Callithrix jacchus: one gene and its partners. The protein of the gene in region 1 binds, or shares a complex with, the protein of each later gene. Links are inferred from orthologs where the notes say so. Each region holds a gene or a part of one and is shown on either strand. Other genes may lie near its edges. The genes, in order: ANXA2, S100A10 and S100A4.

Region 1 (6,547 bases):
TCTATAATACAAAGTGTTTTTTTCTTCTTTTTCAACACCCTCTCCTTCCTCAATTTTCTTTCTCCTCCTCAGAACTGGACATTTCAAATCTAGTTCCCGCTCCACACATTCAGAGCTGGAGGCTTAAATCACCAACTTCTGCAAATCTTAGCAAAGCCCAGCGGATCACTTCAGGGCAGCCTCTTATCAACATATAGCCACGGCCCCCACGGCCCCCACCTCTGCACTGTCAGGGCCGCTTGGGTCCTACTTCTGTCCATAGGACAACCTGGAACTGTAACCTACAACTCCTGGCAAGAAGACAGTAAAGAGGCAGGATGTATGAGCAGCCTTAGGACTCTGATTTCCTCTGAGCTGAGGGTGTGCAGCCGGGGTGTGGCAGGGAGACAAAGGGCTCCAAGTCACAGCCACTCCCTAGAATCAGAGCTTTCTACACCATACCTGGGATAAAACTCAGGCCACTTGGGTGCTACTAACTTGTGGTCTAACAAGGTTGAACTCAGCTGGCTTAAAAGCTTCAGGGTGGACTGAGCATGAAGGCTCACGCTTGTAATCCCAGCACTTTGGGAAGCTGAGGTTGACAGGTCACTCGAGATCAGCAGTTGGAGACAAGCCTGGCCAACATGATGAAACCCCCTCTCTACTAAAAATACAAAAATTAGCACAGCATGGTAGTGTGCGCCTGTAATCCCAGCTGCTCAGGAGGCTGAGGCAGGAGAATCGCTTGAACCTGGGAGGTGGAAGCTGTTGTGAGCAGAGATCCTGCGACTGCACTCTGGCATGGGAGACAGTGCAAGGCTCCCTCTCAAAACAAAACAAAACAAGCTTTAGGGTGTACCCTAGAAGGGAGATTTGGAAGTAATCTCGGTGGAACCACCCAGAAGAACAAATACGGGCCTCTCCTGACCCCTACTGCTGACCTGTCCCTTGGCAAAGTAGATGAACTGCCTCTGGCAACAGCAGAAGAAAAAACATACCAGGCAGTGAATGGGTGGAATTTTTTTAAAAGAACTGGAATTTCCTTTGCTGTGGCCTACAACTAGAATAGGGTGTGGCACCAGGGAAAATGAAGTCAGAGGATTCATATGTGAGAAAAAGAGGAACATTGCATTTTTTTTTTTTTTTTTTGAGATGGAGTTTCACTCTTGCTACCCAGGCTGGAGTGCAATGGCGTGATCTCGGCTCACCGCAACCTCCGCCTCCTGGGTTCAGGCAATTCTCCTGCCTCAGCCTCCTGAGTAGCTGGGATTACAGGCACGCGCCACTGTGCCCAGCTAATTTTTTGAGTTTTTAGTAGAGACGGGGTTTCACCATGTTGACCAGGATGGTCTCGATCTCTTGACATCGTGATCCACCCGCCTCGGCCTCCCAAAGTGCTGGGATTACAGGCGTGAGCCTCTGCGCCTGGCCTGGAACATTGCATTTCTATTTAATCCTCACAGATGAATGTGGAAGGCAACTTAAGACACCATAACTGTAAGCAAAACTTCCTTGAGGTAGGCAAATGACGCTCAGGTCTGTGGAACAGCCGGATTAAAGGCGAAATGAACACCCACCACGTTTGGAAACTAGTATTAATTTGGGAAAATACAGTTTAAAACCCAACAATTCACTTATTTGTCTCTTTTCTTTCTCTCTCCGCTAGATTTGGGGGTGGCGGGGGGGGAAGGGGAGTCTGTTTTGTTCACTGCTGTATCCCTAGCGCCCACTGTGGGTAGAACACAGTAGGTGATGAATATGCTGTGGAATAAATCGTTGTTTAAAGCAGCCCACTAGAGCCTGAGACACCTTTCGTGACACTCCCACTCTCCCTCAATGAAAAATGGTCCCGCGGCTGAGGCTCTGCACAAGAGTGAGAACAAAGGCTCGCGACGGCAATGTGGTGGTGGCAGATTCTAGGCCTGATGCTGCAGGAAGAGCCTACTGCCCTCAAAATCAATAGCAATTACAGAAGCATATGCTACTATGCCAGGAAAACTACTTAAATCAGAACTTAGCCGGGAAACTAACGGCCATGACTGCAAGCTTAATGTCAATCAATACCATAGGTTAATAGCTCAAAGACACAAGAGGTTAAATATTGAGACTCCGGTGCAAGACTGGGCCCCTAATCAGAGTCAGTGAGTCAGCAATGTTTCCTGGGCATTTACCACAGGCAGGCTACTTGGCACTGCAAGAAATACAAAATGTAGGTGGTCTCCAAATCATAACCTTCCAATTGGAAAAATGCACACAGACGGTCACACCCTTCCACTGCAGATTCAACGCTCTTTTGGAGAAACCCTTGAAACCTTTCGATACTAGACGGGCTTAGACGAAGGGAAGAAATCAAGGACACCTCGGCTGTGTTGGTCTTACCTAAAATATTTCTTGATATTGCCTGAATATGATCACTTTCTGACTCCACAGCTTTGAGTTCTATAAATTATAGATCTGTTTAGGTGAATGAGGTTTTTTTAAAAAAATTATTTTATGTCTTTATTTTTTGAGGCTGGGGTCTTGCTATATGGCTCACACTGGCCTTGAACTCCTGGATTCCAGCGATCCTCCAGCGTGAGTAGCAGGGACTACAGGCCCCGGACCACACCCAGCATTGTTTTTTTAAATAACTCCTCTAGGTTGCTGAGGATCTTTGGACCACCAACCATTCCTAACTTAATGAATATTGTTTCAATTTGCTGGTCTCTAGCTGGATACCGGTTTGGTTCACTGAAATGGGAAGGGGGAGGAAGGAGGAAGGAATGTGGACCAGCCTGGACAGCTGTTGTAATAGGACACAGAAGAGCGTCTCTAAGGAGGTGGAAGGTGAAAAAGAAACTGGAACAGAGGCAAAGACATAGTGTTTCAATTAAATTAATTTACTCAGTGTAAATCTCAAAAACATACCGCCCCTCACTACCCTCCACCTCCCCAGCACCATCCCCGTACTTAGGAAGGGCATGTTAAATAGGGTTTTCAGGGCTGGACTGGGAAGGTCAGCGCCTTCGGCAACACAGTTTCAATGGGAGGGGGCACTCCGCATTCCAAGTCACCGAGTTCCAGACAGGCAGGCACAGCAGCACACACGCAAGAAGAGAATCCATCGCTACAGTCTGGGGCCCAGGCCCTTGCACACCAACAGCCTGAGGTTCTTGGTAATGGCCCGGCGTGCACCCATGAGGCCACTGCTCTTTTACACACAGACTGGGAACACCCACAGCTTTCAAATGGCAATCTGACTACAAAAATGAGACTTGGCATTTGCACAGCACTGAGTGTTTTCTGTGTGCTTTACACATTTATTTTTGAATGACTTTTTGAAACCCTGTTTGGGTGGTGGTAAGAATAGGCATCCTTAAGTCGCTCTCCCAGATAAAGAAAGGTGTTCCCCTCCTTCTTCTCAACAGCCAGCTGAGGGAACCCAAGCCTTCCACGCCAGCCCTGGGGCCAGCTGCACCGAGCCTCCAGGAGACAGCGGCCCCGGGGCCACGCCCTTTTCTGTACCCTCAGTTCCTGACTCATTGCCACATCACGGTAACAGTCAGGACAACCCGCCCCGCAGAATCATGGGGGACACTCTCTTCCTGGGGCCAATGTGTTCAACCAAGAGGAAAAGTCTCCAGGAAGAGTGAAATCCGAAGGTGCTATCCCACAAGATCCTCTAGACCAACGGGAATGAACGGGCGTTTTCCTGTTTCCTTTCGTGGGGGGCGGTGGTGTCTACGCACTCGCCCCTCTCATCCTCCCGCACTGCTCTCCTGCGGGTCGGCTCCAGTGCACAAGCGCACGTTTGCTCCGAGTACAGTCACTTAGAACAGATGGGGGCACTTTCTCGAGGGCGGTGGAAAGCCCACCGGCTCCCCGGGTGGCCACACCCTGCCTCGCGGCGCCCGGCGCTTCTGGAATGCAGGGCCGCCCTCCGCCCCCTCCCCGCGCCGCGTCTCCCCGTTCCTGCGAGGACTTCAAGGGGCAGCCCGACACCCCTCGCCTGGGCCCTGCACCCTCCCGGCCCGGACGCCGGCGGCCCCTCACCCGTGCCCCGCACACCTTGCCCCTGCGCCCCCCTCCCCAAAGACTCTCCAGTGCGGGCGGACCCTTCAGCCCCTTGCCCCCCGACGGCCTCCGGGACCCTTCGCCCGAGCCTCCCTGCCAGGCCGTGCCCTTGTTCCCAGCGTCTCCACACCCCGCTAGCGGGCAGGCAGGGCGCGCCTCGCTCACCTGGGCCGGGCGCCGAGAGCAGAGAGCAGAGAGCGTCCCCAGATGCCGAGCGGAGCCCGCTGGCCTGGGTGGGGCTTTTATAACCCGCCGCTTCCTCCCGGAGAGGCGAGGCCCGCCCCGCCCCGCCCCGCCTCTACCCCCCACCCCCGGCCCGCTCCCACCCCGAGTCAGGGTGACTCACCCCGGCCCGCGGGCCCGCAGGGACCGCGCCCTGAAACGCTCCCGAGCCGCGCCATACGGGAGCGGCCCCCGCACCCCTGGCCCTGCCCTGGGAGAAAGCCCGGCCTAGGCTGCCCGCAGGCCCATAGGGGCCCGGCTTCTTCCTCCTTTCCTCGTTTTGCTTAAGTGCCACGTCGAGCTCTCAGCCTCGGCTTGGGTTAATAAATTAGCAAGACTTTAGAAGTAGACTCCGGGCATGGTTAAGTGGCTTTTTTTTTTTTTTTTTTTTTGGCGATAATGCAATGGAGGAAAGAATTGTTCCAACAAGCATAAATCTGGACTCCCCTGAGCTGGGGCTGTTGGCATCCAGCGCACCATTACCTTGGGGAGTCTGCAACATGTCAGATTCATCTCTGGCCGCCAGTTCCCGGGGGCCGCGCCGGGAGGGAGGGAGATTCGCCCTGTGCTGCAAAGCCAGGGCTGCCCCGGCCTCCGAGCGCGCTGGGAGGCCGAAGCCGCGAGCCAAGATGCCGCCTCAGTCGCGCCCCGGGAGGCGCCCCTCTCCCTAGTACGGCTGTGCTCTCTCCTCTCCGCGCCTCGTGGCATGCGGTCCTGGGCTGGGTGGGCCCATGGCTTTGGACCCGGAGTTTCAACATATTACTTTCCTCCTGTCCTTCTTTCTTGACTGCTGGGTGTGTATGTTGCTGCGGGTGTGTGTGTGTGTTTCTTGCAACTGGGGTGTGGGTGGGTGTGTGTCTTGCACAGCCTCGTTGTGTGTGTTGGTGTGTGTGTGTTTCTTGCAGCTGGGTTTTGTGTTTCTTGCAACTGGGGTGTGGGTGGGTGTGTGTCTTGCACAGCCTCGTTGTGTGTGTTGGTGTGTGTGTGTTTCTTGTAGCCGTTTACCCAACTCTCTTGCCTGGTTTTGCTGTTTCTCGATTTTCCTCCAAGAGTCACGTTGGCAATGTGCGGGCTAACACGTATTTGTTGTATGTGTGACGACGCAAATACTGTATTCAAAACCTCAAACTAGCAGGAAAGCTATGGTAAGAACCCCTCACAGCGTCTTTTAAATCCCTCCTTGCACGCTCACTTCCTGCAGCTTTTTTTCTGCTTTTGAGGATTCTGTGTTTTAATCTCCCATTTCTCTTCATGTCCATTTTAACTTTCCAGTTGAGCGTCAATTCACTCCTGGGAATCAGAGAACGATAAGGCCAACAGACATTCAGTGCTCTGCTCACTGTCCTGGAGTGAGACAGGGGAAAGTCGGCCACAGCTGGAGTCTCTTAGCAAGCCACCCAGAGCTCTCTGTTACCCAGCGCTTTCATGAGGAAGTATACACGACGGGCCCTACCGCAGGGCCAAATAGAAAATAAAACAACATTTTGGGTGCAATTACTGATTTACATTTATAGCTCTTCAATATAGCCTGAAAGCTTCAAAGGCAGAAACAATGTTTATTGCCTGTTTGGTGTGACCTGTGCTGTGATAGGCCCTTCACAGAAGATAAAATTTAATCAAATCATATGGAATATATAAAAGCCATCAAATGTCCAAAAGAATTTTGTGCTCATCTTGGGCATGCAGCAAATCCAAATTTCCATAGATTTGTACAATCACCAGGCTTTGCTTCATTCGAAAGAAATGTGCACTGATGTTATCATAAAAATGGAGCTTTTGATTAGAAATCATAGTTCGGCTGGGCATGGTGGCTCATACCTGTAATCCCAGCACTTTGGGAAGCTGAGGTGGGAGGATCACCTGAGATCAGGAGTTCATGACCAGCCTGCCCAACATGGTGAAACCCCATCTCTACTAAAAATACAAAAATTAGATGGGCGCGGTGGCAGGTGCCTGTAATCCCAGCTACTCAGGAGGCTGAGGCAGGAGAATCGCTTGGGCCTGGGAGGCAGAGGTTGCAGTGAGCTGAGATTGCGCCATTCACTCCAGCCTGGGCGACAGAGCAAGGCTCCAGCTCAAAGAAAAAAAAAGGTCATAGTAGGCTATTTCCGAGGAATGTGTGGCCAGTTCTGCCAGTATAAAAGATCTTTTGAGTGTTAGTCAGAGAACTCTACTCCCCACCGTCCCGCCCCCACCGACCGCCCCTCCCACTCCCACCTCCCGGATCCCCTGCCACGGTGGGGAGAATATTTACGTCAGCCCTCAAATTGTCTGCTGTAGTCCATATTGTCTT
Region 2 (6,607 bases), on another chromosome or scaffold:
AGGACTGTTTACTACACGTAAGCGGTATGTGCTGTGTTTTTACACAACCGGCGGCGCAGCAGTCTGTTCACACCAGCATCACCACAAGCACATGAGCACCGCGTTAGACGGCTACGAGGTCACTAGGCAAAAGGAATTTTTTGGCTCTATTATAATCTGAGGGACCACTGCTGTATACACGATCCATTCTTGGCTCAAACATTGTTATGCAGTGAATGACTGTACTCAATTTTATAACCAGCATGATCAGAATTACGTAACTATTTGTCATATATACATAAAAAGACTAGAAAGAAATAGGAAAATATTGACCTTTGGTTCATGTATTTATAAATCACATTTTATACATTAAGATTTTTCCAAGCCTTCTAAGAATAGAATCTTTGTACAGATTTAAAAGTTCTAGTAAGTGTCATCATTATTTTTTAATTTCTACCAATGTTGCATCCTGCAAGAATTATTCTGACCACTCCAAGGAAACTTGAAAGCCCCTCCTCAGTGTTCTCCTACTATCTGATAGTATCCTCTACCATTCACTAAGCACACTGGATTTACATTGTTTGCTTATCTAACTCCCAAGCCCTTGGAGGGAAGAGACTGATTCCTTAATCCCTGAATTCCCAGGCGTATGCACATACACTAAAGCACTTTTAAGGTCTGTGGACTAGATGAAGAAATCAGATGAGTACGGGTATGCAAACCCAGGCATTCCTATTCCAAACCCAGTAGCATTCCAATCCCTGGGACAAAAGGGATCCGAGATTTCCTCCACTGATGACTGTGACCTGGGGACTGGGAAGTACTGTATACAGCAAGATCCCAGAAGACAAGCTGTCCACTTGAATAGTCAGCACCAGGCTGCAGGAAAAGCAATAGCTGAAATCCAAGTTAGGTTTTCCTGGCGACAGCCAAGATTAGTCAGAAGTGGCACTTGGAGGATTCCCCAAGTCTGCTCATTCCTTTGGGATCGCTCACTCCTTCCAAGGCCTCCCCTGGGAACAAAGGAAAACCCCAGAGTTTGGGACTGGGCTGTTTTCCACCAACAGCTTCGAGTAGTTTGTATTTAACCCCAAATCGCAATTCAAATAAAAGGAGGCGAGGGAGGGGCAAAGAGTAGGTCAGCATCCCCTAGGAAACACTTAGGTTTCCTCTAAAGTTATTCCAGGAAATTCTTCTAAAGGACTTTTAAGGACCACAGCATAATGCCTTGGAAACTTAGTTTTAAACTCTTTTTTTTTTTTTTTTTTTTAGACAGAGTCTCACTCTGACACCCAGGCTGGAGTTAAGTGGCGTGTTCTCGCCTCACTGCAACCTCGGTCTCCCAGGTTCAAGCGATTCTCATGTCTCAGTCTCCTGGGATATCAGTAGCGCACCACCTTTCCCGACTCCTTTTTCTATCAGTAGAGACGAGGTATCACCATTTTGGCCAGGCTGGTCTCGAACTCCTGACCTCAAGTGATCTGCCCGCCCTTGGACTCCCAAAGTGTTGGGATTACAAGCATGAGCCACCACGCCCAGCCAGTTTTTAACATTAGCCACACTGAAACTGAACTATTAGTCAAGTAAATCCCCTGTTCAACGGAGGGTTTGTGACGCCCCTGGGTGCTGACAAGACAAACCACACCCTCTCTGGCACCTCGAGGGCCCAGCAGGGTGGGGAGCCTGGCTGCTGGGGAGGTGCTGGGTGCCACCCCCCCCCCACCCTGACCAGGCGCAGGCGGCCGAGACCCCCCGGATGGACCTCCTAGGGCTAATCTGAGAACAACCAAATTCTAGTGCCTCTGAGGTCGCTAGGACTCCACGTGCCACTCCCTGCAAGGTCATCCAGAAAATAATTCCTAGACCCGTAGGTGCCCACAGAGCCGGTACCTCTGGTTCTGCGCCAGCGTGCCCCACCCGCAGGACGGCCAGGTTCTGTCACCGACTTTCTAAAACCAAACCCGAGAGGAAGGGCAGGCCCAGGGTGGGGATGCCCTGAAATAGTGGAGGGCAGGACCGTTCCTACTGAAGAGAAGTTTACAAGAACGCTCTGACTGGGGCGGGCAAGGCAGCAGCGAGGCGGGTCGGGGAGCGAGAGCAGGGCGTGGGCTGCGAACCCCGGGTCGGGGGAGTCGGGGGCAGGAAGAGAGGGAGGAGACAGGGCTGGGGAGCGCCAGGCCAAGCGCCAGCCAGGCTCCTCCCGCTCCCGCACCGCCTCCCTCTCCCCACCCACCGCACGTACTAAGGAAGGCTCACAGCCTGCTGCCCTCGCTTCGCCGCTCCGAGTCTAGCTAGCCCAGAATCCGCAGCGCCTTGGCCAAGGTGAGCTCCCCCCCTGCCCACGTGCCCTTCCCGGATAGTCCCCAGCCCCCGACCTGCCGCCTGGGGTAACCCCCGCACTTGGCTTCACGGAGCGTCCCGGGCACCGCGGGGCCTGGACGGGGAGCGGCCGGTGGGGAAATCCGGTGCTTGGTGCTCTGGGCCGCACCCAGAGGAGGCCAGCAGCGCCCGTCCCCAGCCCGAGCGCGACCGCCCCTAGACCCAGGCGGACCAGAGGAGGGGACACTTGTCCTTTACGTGGGGACTGTGGTGTTGGTGCCCCTGGACCTCTTCTCTCCTCCCTTTGTTAGCCTTGCTTTACTCCCACCTTTCCTGCTTTCCCACTCGTCTCTCGGTTACTGAAGCCCTCCTGCTTGCCCCTGCCCTGGCTGGCATGTTTCTTGGTGGGTTCTGCCCACAGGCCAACCTTGGTTTGCATGTTCGTAGCCTCCACCCGGCTGGACAGCCCGAGCAGGCGCGGGTAGGACGAGTAGGGAGCTGGGGGCGTCCCTTCCTAAGGAGTACCCCTTAGTCCCTTGGCCAAAGGGGCGTTTCACGTTGGGGCTTCCTGTTGTCAGCTTGACGGGGGTCTTCCTGCTGAGGGAGGGGGGTCCACTTGTTTTCTTTCTAAAGCAGTTTGGCTCGATGGGGGCGGTGGACAGTGTGAAGCGGTTTCTCTACTGAAAGGTTCCCTAGCTAACCTAATTAAGTAGAACCAGAAAGAGATGGAGGAAGAGCAGGCTATGATGAAGGATCTTCCAGTCCTAGATTAATTTGTGAGACAGACAGACTTGCCTTTGGCACTTGGTTCACCACCTGCGCTTTGGCCGAAGGAATGGCGCTGCCCCTAGCTATGGACACTGCTGCCCTGTCCAGCTTCAGTCTGGCTCTAAGTGAAACCAGGAGCTCTGCCTTGTTGGCTGGGGGTGGAATGCAGACCGCTCCAAGCCAGGCCAGCACAGGGGAGCCCTGAGCTAGACTCTGGGATGCATTAAGCCCACCCCGCTTTCTGCCCCCACCCAGTTCTGTCCCTGCTGGAGCTTCTGCAGGGCGTGGTTAGGGCAGAAGGCTCCAAGATTCTCCTAGTGGTCTGAGGCCTGTGACTCAGCTGTGAGACCATGTGGGTGTGGCTGGTTGCAGATACTCTCTGTGGATGGTTTGGACAGAACACTCCCTGAAGGAAAAGAGGAACTGTGCCATCTCAGAGGGCATTTTCCAAGAGGAAGTGAGTCACACCTGGACTGGCCTCCAGTCTGCAGGAGAGGTTTCTTGACTGAACTGTGGGTGAGGGCAGTAATTAGATCAGTAACCAAGGCCTTGGCAAGACCGCTCTTCATTATCGGCCAGTATGCGCCTGGCACCCTGGCTCAGCCTTACTTGGGAGGTAGCCTTTCCCGTTAAGAGGTTTGCAGTTGTTTCGGATATTTTTCCCCAGAAGCTTGAGTTTTAGCCTCCAGGAGTGGAGTTTACGTTGTGTGCTTTAGGTGAGACCAGGCTCGTGGAAACATCCAGTCAGTGATTTTTGCCTCCAACATGTTTCAGCAAATTGTAAAAGACAATGCCAGGGGTTGGAGCAGGAATGAGTTCATATAACTCACTGTAAGTTTCTTCCTGGGCCCTGCCCCACAGATTCCTATCCGGTTTCTGTTTAAGCATCCCTTCCCAATGGTGTATTTGTTCCTTAGCAGCCAGAGAGTAGTTTCTTCACGGTGGGACCCACCATTTGGAGTTTATTTCAGTTCTTGCCATCTGTTTTTGGTCTGCTGGGCATGAAGCAATTGTTGGGTCTCACTCTGCTTTCTAGGTGATGCTCTTCCTAGCTTTTCTTGGACACACCAAATAGGCCCCTTTCCTCCAGTGTGCCGGCCTCTTGCCAGCCTCCTAAGCAGCCACTCCAGTGGGGTCAGGCCTGGACTGGGTGGAGCCAAGACTGTGTGCCTCCCTGCTTTCTACTGACAGTTCAAAAAAATGTGTCTTTTGTAGAGCACAACCCACTTGATATACCCTTGGACACAGTCCAGTCTTTCAAAGCATAAAGTTGAGAGAAACAATGGAATTCTTTCAGGCTTATAATGTATAAAGTAGCACTCAAAGTGCTGAGAAAGCTGGACTAAAATTTTAACATCTTACGTTTCTCATTTTTCTGGGGACTCAACAAATTTAAGAATCTCACATCAAAAGCAAAAACAATTTACTTCTTTTAAACAATTTTCAGAACTTTCTATTCCTTTACTAAATAAGTACCACCCACCCTACCAAAGGATTAAATAGCAGTTGTCACAATAGCTATGTTGGCTGATTAGGCTGATGCCTGAGCATTTTTTAAGGAAAAATGGATGTACTCGGTTAGATTGGAGGAGGTTTCTTTGGAGTTCTTTCTTCCTATTGAATTGCATCTGAAACTTTCCTTTGCTGCCCAAGTCTTTCGTGAGCAAGTTTTATTTGGTAAGAGGTGAGAGAGACAGCCTGGATCCAGATCCATTGGTTCAGCTCATTTTTTCTGAATTAGCTTCAAAGATCAAATTCAAGAATGCCTTCTGGGTTCAATTAAAAAAAAAAAAAAAAACTCCAAAATTTCTAAAGCAAAAGGAAGGAAATCTCAAACATATTTTAAATAACAGATGTTTGTTTTTACTGACGCCCTGCCATTTATTTTCTGGGTGGGCTGTAAGAAAACTAGGGTATGGACGAGATACAGAGAAGCAAAGCAAGTCTGACTCTCGCTCTTCAGAAGTGTCCTCTTTGAAACTGCAGCTGGGATCTGGGCACAGGTCCAGAGCAAACATTTGAGATTGCTCAGGAGCAGACACTTTTCTGAGGACTCCTGCTTCTCTGCTACTCTCAGGACAACCATAATACATTATTATTGACTTCTTATAAATTAATCGAGCAGGGTCAATGAGGGCTCAAGCACTGGCTACTGGGACCCTGCTCAAGAAACCTGCAATCTGGTGAGGAAAGAAACAGAAACACAAATAAATAGAATTCATGCCAGATGCTTAAGTAGTTTCTATTAGCTGGTTAATTCCTCAAAGGCAAGCATAATGGGGAGAACGTGTGTATCTGCATGTGTGTGTGTATGTGTGTCTGGGACATTCAAAGTGGATGCTCAGAGTGGGAGAACCAAAAATGGAAAATTGAATTCCTCCTATGGTAACTAAATTCGTAGAGTCCAGAATTGTTTTCTATAGAGAGAACTATAGAGAGAGAGATGTCTCAACCTCCCTTCTTAAGACCTGTTGCTCAGGCAGACAAGGTGGGCATGTATAGGCATCAGAATAGAATAATTCAATAAAAGGTGAGTGGACAGCAAGGCTGTTACATCCTGTGATGCTCAGCAGTGAGACAGCAACACTAGAAAAGCATAAAGTAGAAGATGTGATGAATGGAAAACATGAGAAAACAGCCAAGTGTTAGAAGAGAAGGAGCAAAGTCATGTCATTCTGACCAGACCTGTTTAGCAGGACACATATTTTCCCTTTTGCGTATGGAATGTGCCCTCCTGTGTACTCTACTGTTCCATTCATAGTTGAACCTTTTTGGGGCCCCTTTCCTGGCCCTTCCCAACTCTCACATTGTCCTCTTGAGCTCTTAGCTACAAGGTTTTCAGCCTAGTTCTAGGTAATCACACTTGCACCTCAGCTACTACTCAAGGGCTTGTGTGGTTCATTTATGCACCTAACAGTTAACAGTGCTCCACGAATAAAAGCAGAATAATTCGTAGTTCTTGTTCAAGAGGAGCTTAAATCTCAGACTGACAAGTAAACAATTAAATGGAATGGAATGTTTCAGGTACAAGAGCAAGTTCTTGGGGATAGAGAGTGTACTGCTGCCTCTTGGCCTCAGCCCCAAAGCCCTCCTGTCAAAGTGTGTCTAACCAGGATGCAGGAAGCCCACATCTGAACAGAGCTTGCAGAGTGGCTAGGTAAGGGAGGAAATGCCAGATTAAAGTCCCTGAAGAGCTTGTTTCAGCAGCTAACAGTCAGTGCTGCAGTCAGCCCTGCCCAGGCAAGCCCCACCCAAGAACCGAGGGCCAGGCAGGGCTGACTCAGTGGGGCCACCAGTGGCTGCACTCTGACAAGAGCTATGTGATTCATCCTCTAGCCAAGAGAACAGAGTTTTAATAACATTTTCCCCTTTCCTCTGTCTTAAAGCCAGTGTGCAGCTCCTTCTTCAAAACAGAGTTCCTTCTCTGGTGAGGCCCTTTGGGGCACTGGTTACTCAAGAGACAAGGGCTTCTCCCCTAGTTTTCAATGCTGTTTTCACCTCCTGGCTGGCCCCTGCTCTGTATCCTTATTGGAGAAGGTCT
Region 3 (6,569 bases), on another chromosome or scaffold:
AGGGTCTGGCATTGGGAGCAGAGAGATGACCATAGCGGGACTGTCAGAGGGAGGGAAGTCAGACACGGTGGACGCAGAGGTTTCCTTGCACAGTGAAGGGCTGTCAGGGAAGTTTGGGCTGAGGGGTGTGCAGAGCTGAGGTCTGCCTTGAAGTGGGATCACTGGGCTCAAGGTTCTGGTGTTCTCCTTAGTCAGCCCCTCGCCTGCTCCTTGCCTCCTTGCTTTATTCCTGGGGACGGGTCAAGATTGGCTAAGGCTGCAGGGGGAAGAGAGGATTCCCACACCTCCAGGCACTGTGCTTCTGAAACAGCAGCAGTGGTGGTGCCAGGCAGGCTGGCAGGAGCGCAGAAAGGTGTGCTGAACCCCTCTGTGGCTCCTCATTCCCGGGGATCATGGCCCTTTCCTCTGCTGGGAACCTGGACACCTTGCTCCAATCCTGGGCTGTTTACAACCAATTGAACCCTGGCAGTGCTTGGCACCCCCCACTCTCCTTCCCCTACTTTCCTGCCAGCCACAACCACACCAGCCATTTGCTCCCAGCAGCAGGCCCAGCAGTGGGCGAACCTTCAGGGAGAGTCTTGGCCCTGGCCACCCTGTGCTGCAGGACTCTCGTCCCATGAGGGAACCAAGAGTGAGTCACTGGTCTTGCATGGAAAAAACTCTTGCCTTCCTGGCCGCCTTAGGGTTTTCCCAGGCTGGAGGCATCATCCCAGAAGGGCGGTGGAAGGGTACAGTGGAAGTGGGGGGAGGTGAGCAATTCCAGGAAGGACTTCCCCTCCAATAGAAAAGGGTACCCCTGTACAGATCCTTCCCTCTAGGGGTCAGGGGGGTAACCTCAGGGGAGGCCAGTCTCAGATTGGTAAATACCTGAACCGGTCAACTCTCAAGAGACCATCTGGCTCCAGTTCCTGACTGGGCCTGCAAGGTGGGATGAACCCCACTTCACAGATCAGGCCCCTGAGACCCGGAGAGGCAAATGGCTCACCAGGCTTGCAGAGCTGGTGAGAGGCAGAGAGGAGCCCACGAGTTTTTCTTTTGGATGCAGCTTCCTTGAGTTCAGGGCAGGAGGCAGGGTGAGGGGAGTGGTGGTGAGGCGGTGTGGGCCCCTCTCAGGCCTGCCCCTCCCTCCCTGCTAAGGCCTAGCTTCTCCTCGGGCCTGAGGACAGAGAATTACAGGGCCAGGCTCTCCTGTGCAAGTTCCTGCAGGGCAGAAGGCTTCTAGGGCATCTCATGGGCTGGGGCAGACGGGGACCAAGCCACCCCTGGGTATTGGAGATAAGCAGAGAACCCAAGAATGCCTAAGGAGCCCCACGGTGGGGTGTGTGGGTGGTGGGGTGAGATGCCCTCTCTTTAAGGAGTTTGCAGTGATGTTGGGGCAATGAGACCTCTACATGTGGAAAATCACAAGAGGGCAGCAGGGAGATAAATGAATAGGGGCTGGTGTGGTCCAGGAGGGCTGCTCAGAGGAGGGGAAGCCATGGGGCCTGAAGCCTGGTGGAGGTTAAGCTGGGTCTGGGAACAGTCTCTGAGAAACATGGAAGGCAGAGGTGAGCAGGGGGCTGGCCTGGAACTCTGCTGTGAGTCACGCCCTTGTTCTGTGACAGTGAGGATGGCCAGGCCTCTGGAGCAGGCGGTAGCTGCCATCGTGTGCACCTTCCAGGAGTATGCCGGGCGCTGTGGGGACAAACACAAGCTCTGCCAGGCTGAGCTCAAGGAGCTGCTGCAGAAGGAGCTGCCCACCTGGACCCCGGTGAGTACGCAGAGTGTCCGTACCCTCCTCACCCGGCAGGAGGTAAGGCCTGGACTCTGCAAAGAGAGTCGTGGGGACAAGCCGGAGCACAGGTCCACAAGGGGAGGAGGCTGGACTGGAAGGAGGGAGTAGCAGAAGCCTCAGCTTCCTCACCTGTAAAATGGAAGGACAATCATCACACCTGCTGCCTTGCAGGGTTGTGAGAGGACTGAGCGAGAGCACCATGAAGAATGCCTAATGCGTAGTAGGCACTCAGTAGCAGATAGTAGGTGCTCAATTGACAATCTGAGAGGGTGGATTTGGGAGGGGATCGCAATGGGTGCATTACTGGAACAGGTAGGTTGAAGTCGGCCCTCGGAAGGGTGTAGTTTGGGGTGGGGTGGGTCCGCTTGGGAGAGGAGGGAGGGCAGTGGCGTGCGAGGCTGTTCTGCCCTCCTCATCCTGCTCCCCCACCCTTCCCCACCCCTCCCTTGCACAGACCGAGTTTCGGGAGTGTGACTACAACAAATTCATGAGTGTTCTGGACACCGACAAGGACTGCGAGGTGGACTTTGTGGAGTACGTGCGCTCACTGGCCTGTCTCTGTCTCTACTGCCACGAGTACTTCAAGGACTGCGCCCCAGAGCCCCCCTGCCCCCAGTAGCCTCCGCTACTACTCCCCCACCCTCTCTCCTGCACCCCTTCCAATCTGGACTTGCCAAGGTCTTCCGTGATCAGTTAACCCATTTTACCCAGGATGCCCAGCGAGGGAGGGGTAGAGCCACTCTGGGCCCCAGCCTGCCCGCCGCACCCCTACTGCCTCCCCTGTGGTTGGGAGGAGGCGGGATCTGCTCTGAGACCCCAGTGAGACCTCGATGGGAAGGGGCCTATTTAACTCCTAATAAAAGGCTGGCATCAGCTTGGCTTTGTTTGGTTCTTCTCCGGGGACGCGTCTGCTGAGCTCTTTGCTCCTCTCTGGACTTTTCCACTGCAGGAGGGCAGCTGAGGGCAGGAGCAGGAGGCTCCCCCAGGGACGTTTCAGACCCTGCAGAAATGCCGTGGCCTCCAGAGTCCAGCAGGAGGGCGTGGGGCCAACACTGGGACCCCCGTCCTCCCTTCCTCTCTCTTTCTCTGGGGGTCTTTGAGAGAGGGCCGCCTAAGTTTCTCCTGGGACTCAGTGCTCTTGATCAGGTGATATGACGAGGGTGGGGTGAGGGTGGGGTGGGGCTGTTAGTTCCCTGCCGCGGGCTGTGGGAGCCCAGAGAGCAGCACTAATGGGATTAGAGTGTTTGAGGTGTTTACTCCCAGCCAGGGCGGGGTGCCGGTGTGGAGGGGGCAGGGGGTATCTTGAGGCAGTCCCCATCCCTGAAGCCACAGCCCCCTGAGGGCCTTAACCCCCTACTTCTAACCCTCACTGAGCTTGCAGCCCACCCTGAGAGGTCGACCCAAATCCTGACTTCCCTATTTTGTGCCATTTCGCCTCTCACTCTCCACCCCAACCTGGATTCTTCATTCCCGACACTCACCCCAACTTTAAATGGCACCCCCGATAGCTTCTCCGAACCTGGGGTCTATCCATGAGACCCCACGCCTCATTGCCACCCATTCCATCACTACCTCACCCAGAACCTTTCCCATTGACATTTATGAGGTGGTCCCAGAGCCTCTTTTGTGTATGAACCTCTTCCCCTCCAGACCCCCCAGCTCCGGCCCTGGGCCTTACTTGGCATGGCAGACAGTACTGGGCCTGGGGATCCCCTCCCCCATTTTTGTTTTTTAATCTTTATTTATTTACTTTTTGAGACAGAGTCTCCCTCTGCCACCCAGCCTGGAGTGCAGTGGCATGATCTCGGCTCACTGCAACCCCCACTTCCCAGATTCAAGCAATTCTCCTGCCTCAGCCTCCTGAGTAGCTGGGATTACAGGCGTCTGCCACCACACCCGGCTAATTTTTTGTAATTTTTACTAGAGATGGGATTTCACCATCTTGGCCAGGCTGGTCTTGAACTCCTGACCTCATGATCCACCCGCCTCGGCCTCCTAAAGTGCTGGGATTACAGGTATGAGCCACCGCGCCGGGCCTTAATCTTCATTTTTTTTAAGAGACAAGGTCTCGCTGTGTTGCCCAGGCTGGAGAGCAGTGGCTTGAGCATAGTTCACTGCAGTCTCAAATTCCTGGGCTCAAATGATCCTCCTGTTTTAGCTTCCTGACTAGCTGGGACTACAGGCTCCAGCCACGCTGTCTAGCTAATTAAAAAAACTTTTTTGGCTGGGCGCGATGGTTCACACCTGTAATCCCAGCACTTTGAGAGGCCGAGGCGGGTGGATCACCTGAGGTCCAGAGTTCAAGACCAGCCTGGCCAACATGGTGAAATGCGGTCTCTACTAAAAATACAAAATTGGCTGGGTGTGCTGGGACATGCCTGTAATCCCAGCTACTTGGGAGGCTGAGGCAGGAGAATCACTTGAACTTGGGAGGCGGAGGTTGCAGGGAGCCGAGATCAGGCCATTGTACTCTAGCCTGGGTAACAAGAGTGAAACTCCATCTCAAAAAAAGAGGGGAGACTACTCTCTCCCTGTCGCCAATGCTCTAGGCACAGGCTGCCCTTCCTCCACCTCTCTAAAACTCAGGCTATGTACACTGGGTAGTGTGTATCACATCCAGGTCTCTGCTGGTGGTAACCATTGGGGCTTACCCCTTGCCCACAGGGGCCCACCTGGGGACAAGAAGCTTGGTTCCAAGGCTGGGCTGGTGGACGGTGCTGTGGCCCTTACCATGTCAGCCCACAGTAGGAGGGCAGTATCTGCTCTCCCCCATCCCCTGCTATGGGCAGGGCCTGGCGGGGGTATAAATAGGTCAGACTGCTGGGCCGTCCCCGTTCTTCCGCTCTCTACAACCCTCTCTCCTCCACTTCTTCTCCCTTGGCCTGGTGAGTTGTGTTGGCCTGACTGGCATGCAAGGGGTGTCAGAGGCCAGGGCTGGGGCAGGAGAAGGGGAGGTGGGTGGGGGCGAGATGTGCTAAACAGATCCAGATGTGAGATTCTGATGTGGAAGCTCTGGATAGAGTGTGTGTGTGTGGGTGTGTGCGTGGGTGTGCATGTGCACACACACACGTGCATGTAAGAGGGAGGAAAAAACAAACAGAAAAGCGAGCAAGTGGCTGGCTTTGAGCTCTCCAGGTGCTTCTGAGATGCGGCTTGCATGTGCTGTTGCTCTAGTGTGTGTCGGTGTATATGTGCCCGTGGGTATATGCACTGGCTCACGCTTGCTGGGTTGCATGCTCGGGTGCAGGAAGCAAAGCAAAGGCAGAAGGGAACTGTGGGTGTTTGTCTGGTGGTGTGCGCCAGGAGCCTCTGCCCTGCACCCAGCAGCCCAGGTCGAGAGCATGGCCTCTGCACCTTCTCCTCCAACCCTTGACTCTGCCACCTCACTCTGCCCCTCCCTAGGCTGAGCGCTAAGCGGCTGGTTTTTTCCGCTGCAGGGCCCTGGGCAGGCCTCCAGCAGCCTCGCCCATTGCTGGGAGGGAGAAGAATGGCCAGGGCGGGGCCTTTGTGGCTGAGCTGTGGGAGTGGATTGACTGAGTGAGGGGTGGAAAAAATGCTGTTGTTGAGGAGAGGCCTGGGAGCTTGCTGCCTGAATCTCCAGAGCCTGTGCAGAGGGTCCTGCAAACATCCACTGTTCACCGCCCGGAGCATGTGTTCCCCACACCCTCCCACCAGGTGCTGGGCCCGCTGCTCTGAGCCCCCCCAGGGAGGGAGCAGAGTCTCACCAAGTGCTCCCAGCAAGGGATGTGAGTGCATCGCTGGGGGGTGGGGTAAATAAGAGGGTCTCTGTGCCTCCTGCCCCCAGATCCTGACGGCTGTCATGGCGTGCCCCCTGGAGAAGGCCCTGGATGTGATGGTGTCCACCTTCCACAAGTACTCAGGCAAAGAGGGTGACAAGTTCAAGCTCAACAAGTCAGAGCTAAAGGAGCTGCTGACCCAGGAGCTGCCCAGCTTCTTGAGGGTGAGTGGGTAGTGCCTGAGTGTGCCCCCACATGGGCGATTTCCCACAGAGGAGGCAGCAGTCCTGCTATAGAGAATTAGCTACAGAGGGCATCTATCAGTGGGGCGGCTGCTTGGGGTGGAAACAGTGAATACCACCACTCACGGACTGGCGCCCTGCTGAAAGAGGGCTGAGAATGAACTGGTCAGACACCACCAGGTACTCTGCACTGAAGGGAAGCCTAAGCTCAGGGTGCTAAGTAACTTCCCAAGGTGGTCAGTGCCCAGAACGGCCATCCGGGCCGGGACGGTGTGACTCTTGCCCTTACTCCAACGATGGACACTGAGTTTCTGTCTGGCTTGTGAAGATACAATGTGGAGATGATCACATGCCTGCAGACTTTCCCCTCAAACAATAACAATGTACATCGGTAGCAAACATTGCACAGTTTACATATGTCTTTCATGACTGAAATAATCCCTCATGGGATTATTAGAACAGCCTTGGGTGAAAATGTTGTGGCCCTGTCATTTTTCCGTTGCACCAGGTACTCAGACTTTCTCATCCAAGGAGCACCTTCTCCGCCCTAGCTTAGCCTTGGGGGTGGGAGTTCCGAACTGGACCTCCCAAAGGAGCCTTCCCGAGCTCTGGTCCGGAGGTAGAAACTGGGTCTGGTCCTGGCGCCACCCACTGGGCTTCTGCTTTCTATGCGTAGCCTCTTCTCCCTCCAGAAAAGGACAGATGAAGCCGCGTTCCAGAAGCTGATGAGCAACCTGGACAGCAATAGGGACAACGAGGTGGACTTCCAGGAGTACTGCGTCTTCCTGTCCTGCATCGCCATGATGTGTAATGAAT

The links.
Region 2: the proteins of ANXA2 (region 1) and S100A10 are in contact, whole or in part, in a crystal structure (PDB 4FTG), measured with the Homo sapiens proteins. The link is inferred for Callithrix jacchus from reciprocal best matches to the Homo sapiens genes ANXA2 and S100A10. Residues at the interface, in NP_001002857.1 of Homo sapiens: Val4, Glu6, Ile7, Leu8, Lys10, Leu11, Ser12, Leu13; in NP_002957.1 of Homo sapiens: Phe39, Gly41, Phe42, Asn45, Gln46, Ala51, Lys54, Ile55, Leu79, Ala82, Cys83, Tyr86, Phe87, Met91.
Region 3: the proteins of ANXA2 (region 1) and S100A4 are in contact, whole or in part, in a crystal structure (PDB 5LPU), measured with the Homo sapiens proteins. The link is inferred for Callithrix jacchus from reciprocal best matches to the Homo sapiens genes ANXA2 and S100A4. Residues at the interface, in NP_001002857.1 of Homo sapiens: Leu13, Glu14, Pro21, Ser22, Ala23, Tyr24, Ser26, Val27, Lys28, Tyr30, Thr31, Asn32, Phe33, Glu36, Arg37, Leu40, Thr44, Gln69, Asp70, Phe73, Arg77, Arg78; in NP_002952.1 of Homo sapiens: Lys35, Leu38, Pro43, Ser44, Phe45, Leu46, Gly47, Lys48, Arg49, Thr50, Asp51, Ala54, Phe55, Lys57, Leu58, Asn61, Leu62, Gln73, Phe78, Cys81, Ile82, Met84, Met85, Glu88, Phe89, Phe93.

Annotation. Positions count from the first base shown.
Region 1 is NC_133509.1:7,195,978-7,202,524, forward strand, and holds the start of ANXA2 (annexin A2), read right to left. Parts: upstream 4,249-6,547; 5' UTR 4,198-4,248; intron 1-4,197. UniProt on the Homo sapiens protein: Calcium-regulated membrane-binding protein whose affinity for calcium is greatly enhanced by anionic phospholipids. It binds two calcium ions with high affinity. May be involved in heat-stress response.
Region 2 is NC_133519.1:11,917,894-11,924,500, reverse strand, and holds the start of S100A10 (protein S100-A10), read left to right. Parts: upstream 1-2,249; 5' UTR 2,250-2,301; intron 2,302-6,607. UniProt on the Homo sapiens protein: Because S100A10 induces the dimerization of ANXA2/p36, it may function as a regulator of protein phosphorylation in that the ANXA2 monomer is the preferred target (in vitro) of tyrosine-specific kinase.
Region 3 is NC_133519.1:13,956,681-13,963,249, reverse strand, and holds the start of S100A4 (protein S100-A4), read left to right. Parts: upstream 1-2,769; 5' UTR 2,770-2,782; coding exon 2,783-2,920; intron 2,921-4,607; exon of another isoform or gene 4,608-5,449; intron 5,450-5,579; coding exon 5,580-5,735; intron 5,736-6,445; coding exon 6,446-6,569. Other genes in the region: S100A3 (protein S100-A3), read left to right, coding at 631-631, 1,605-1,750, 2,229-2,393. UniProt on the Homo sapiens protein: Calcium-binding protein that plays a role in various cellular processes including motility, angiogenesis, cell differentiation, apoptosis, and autophagy.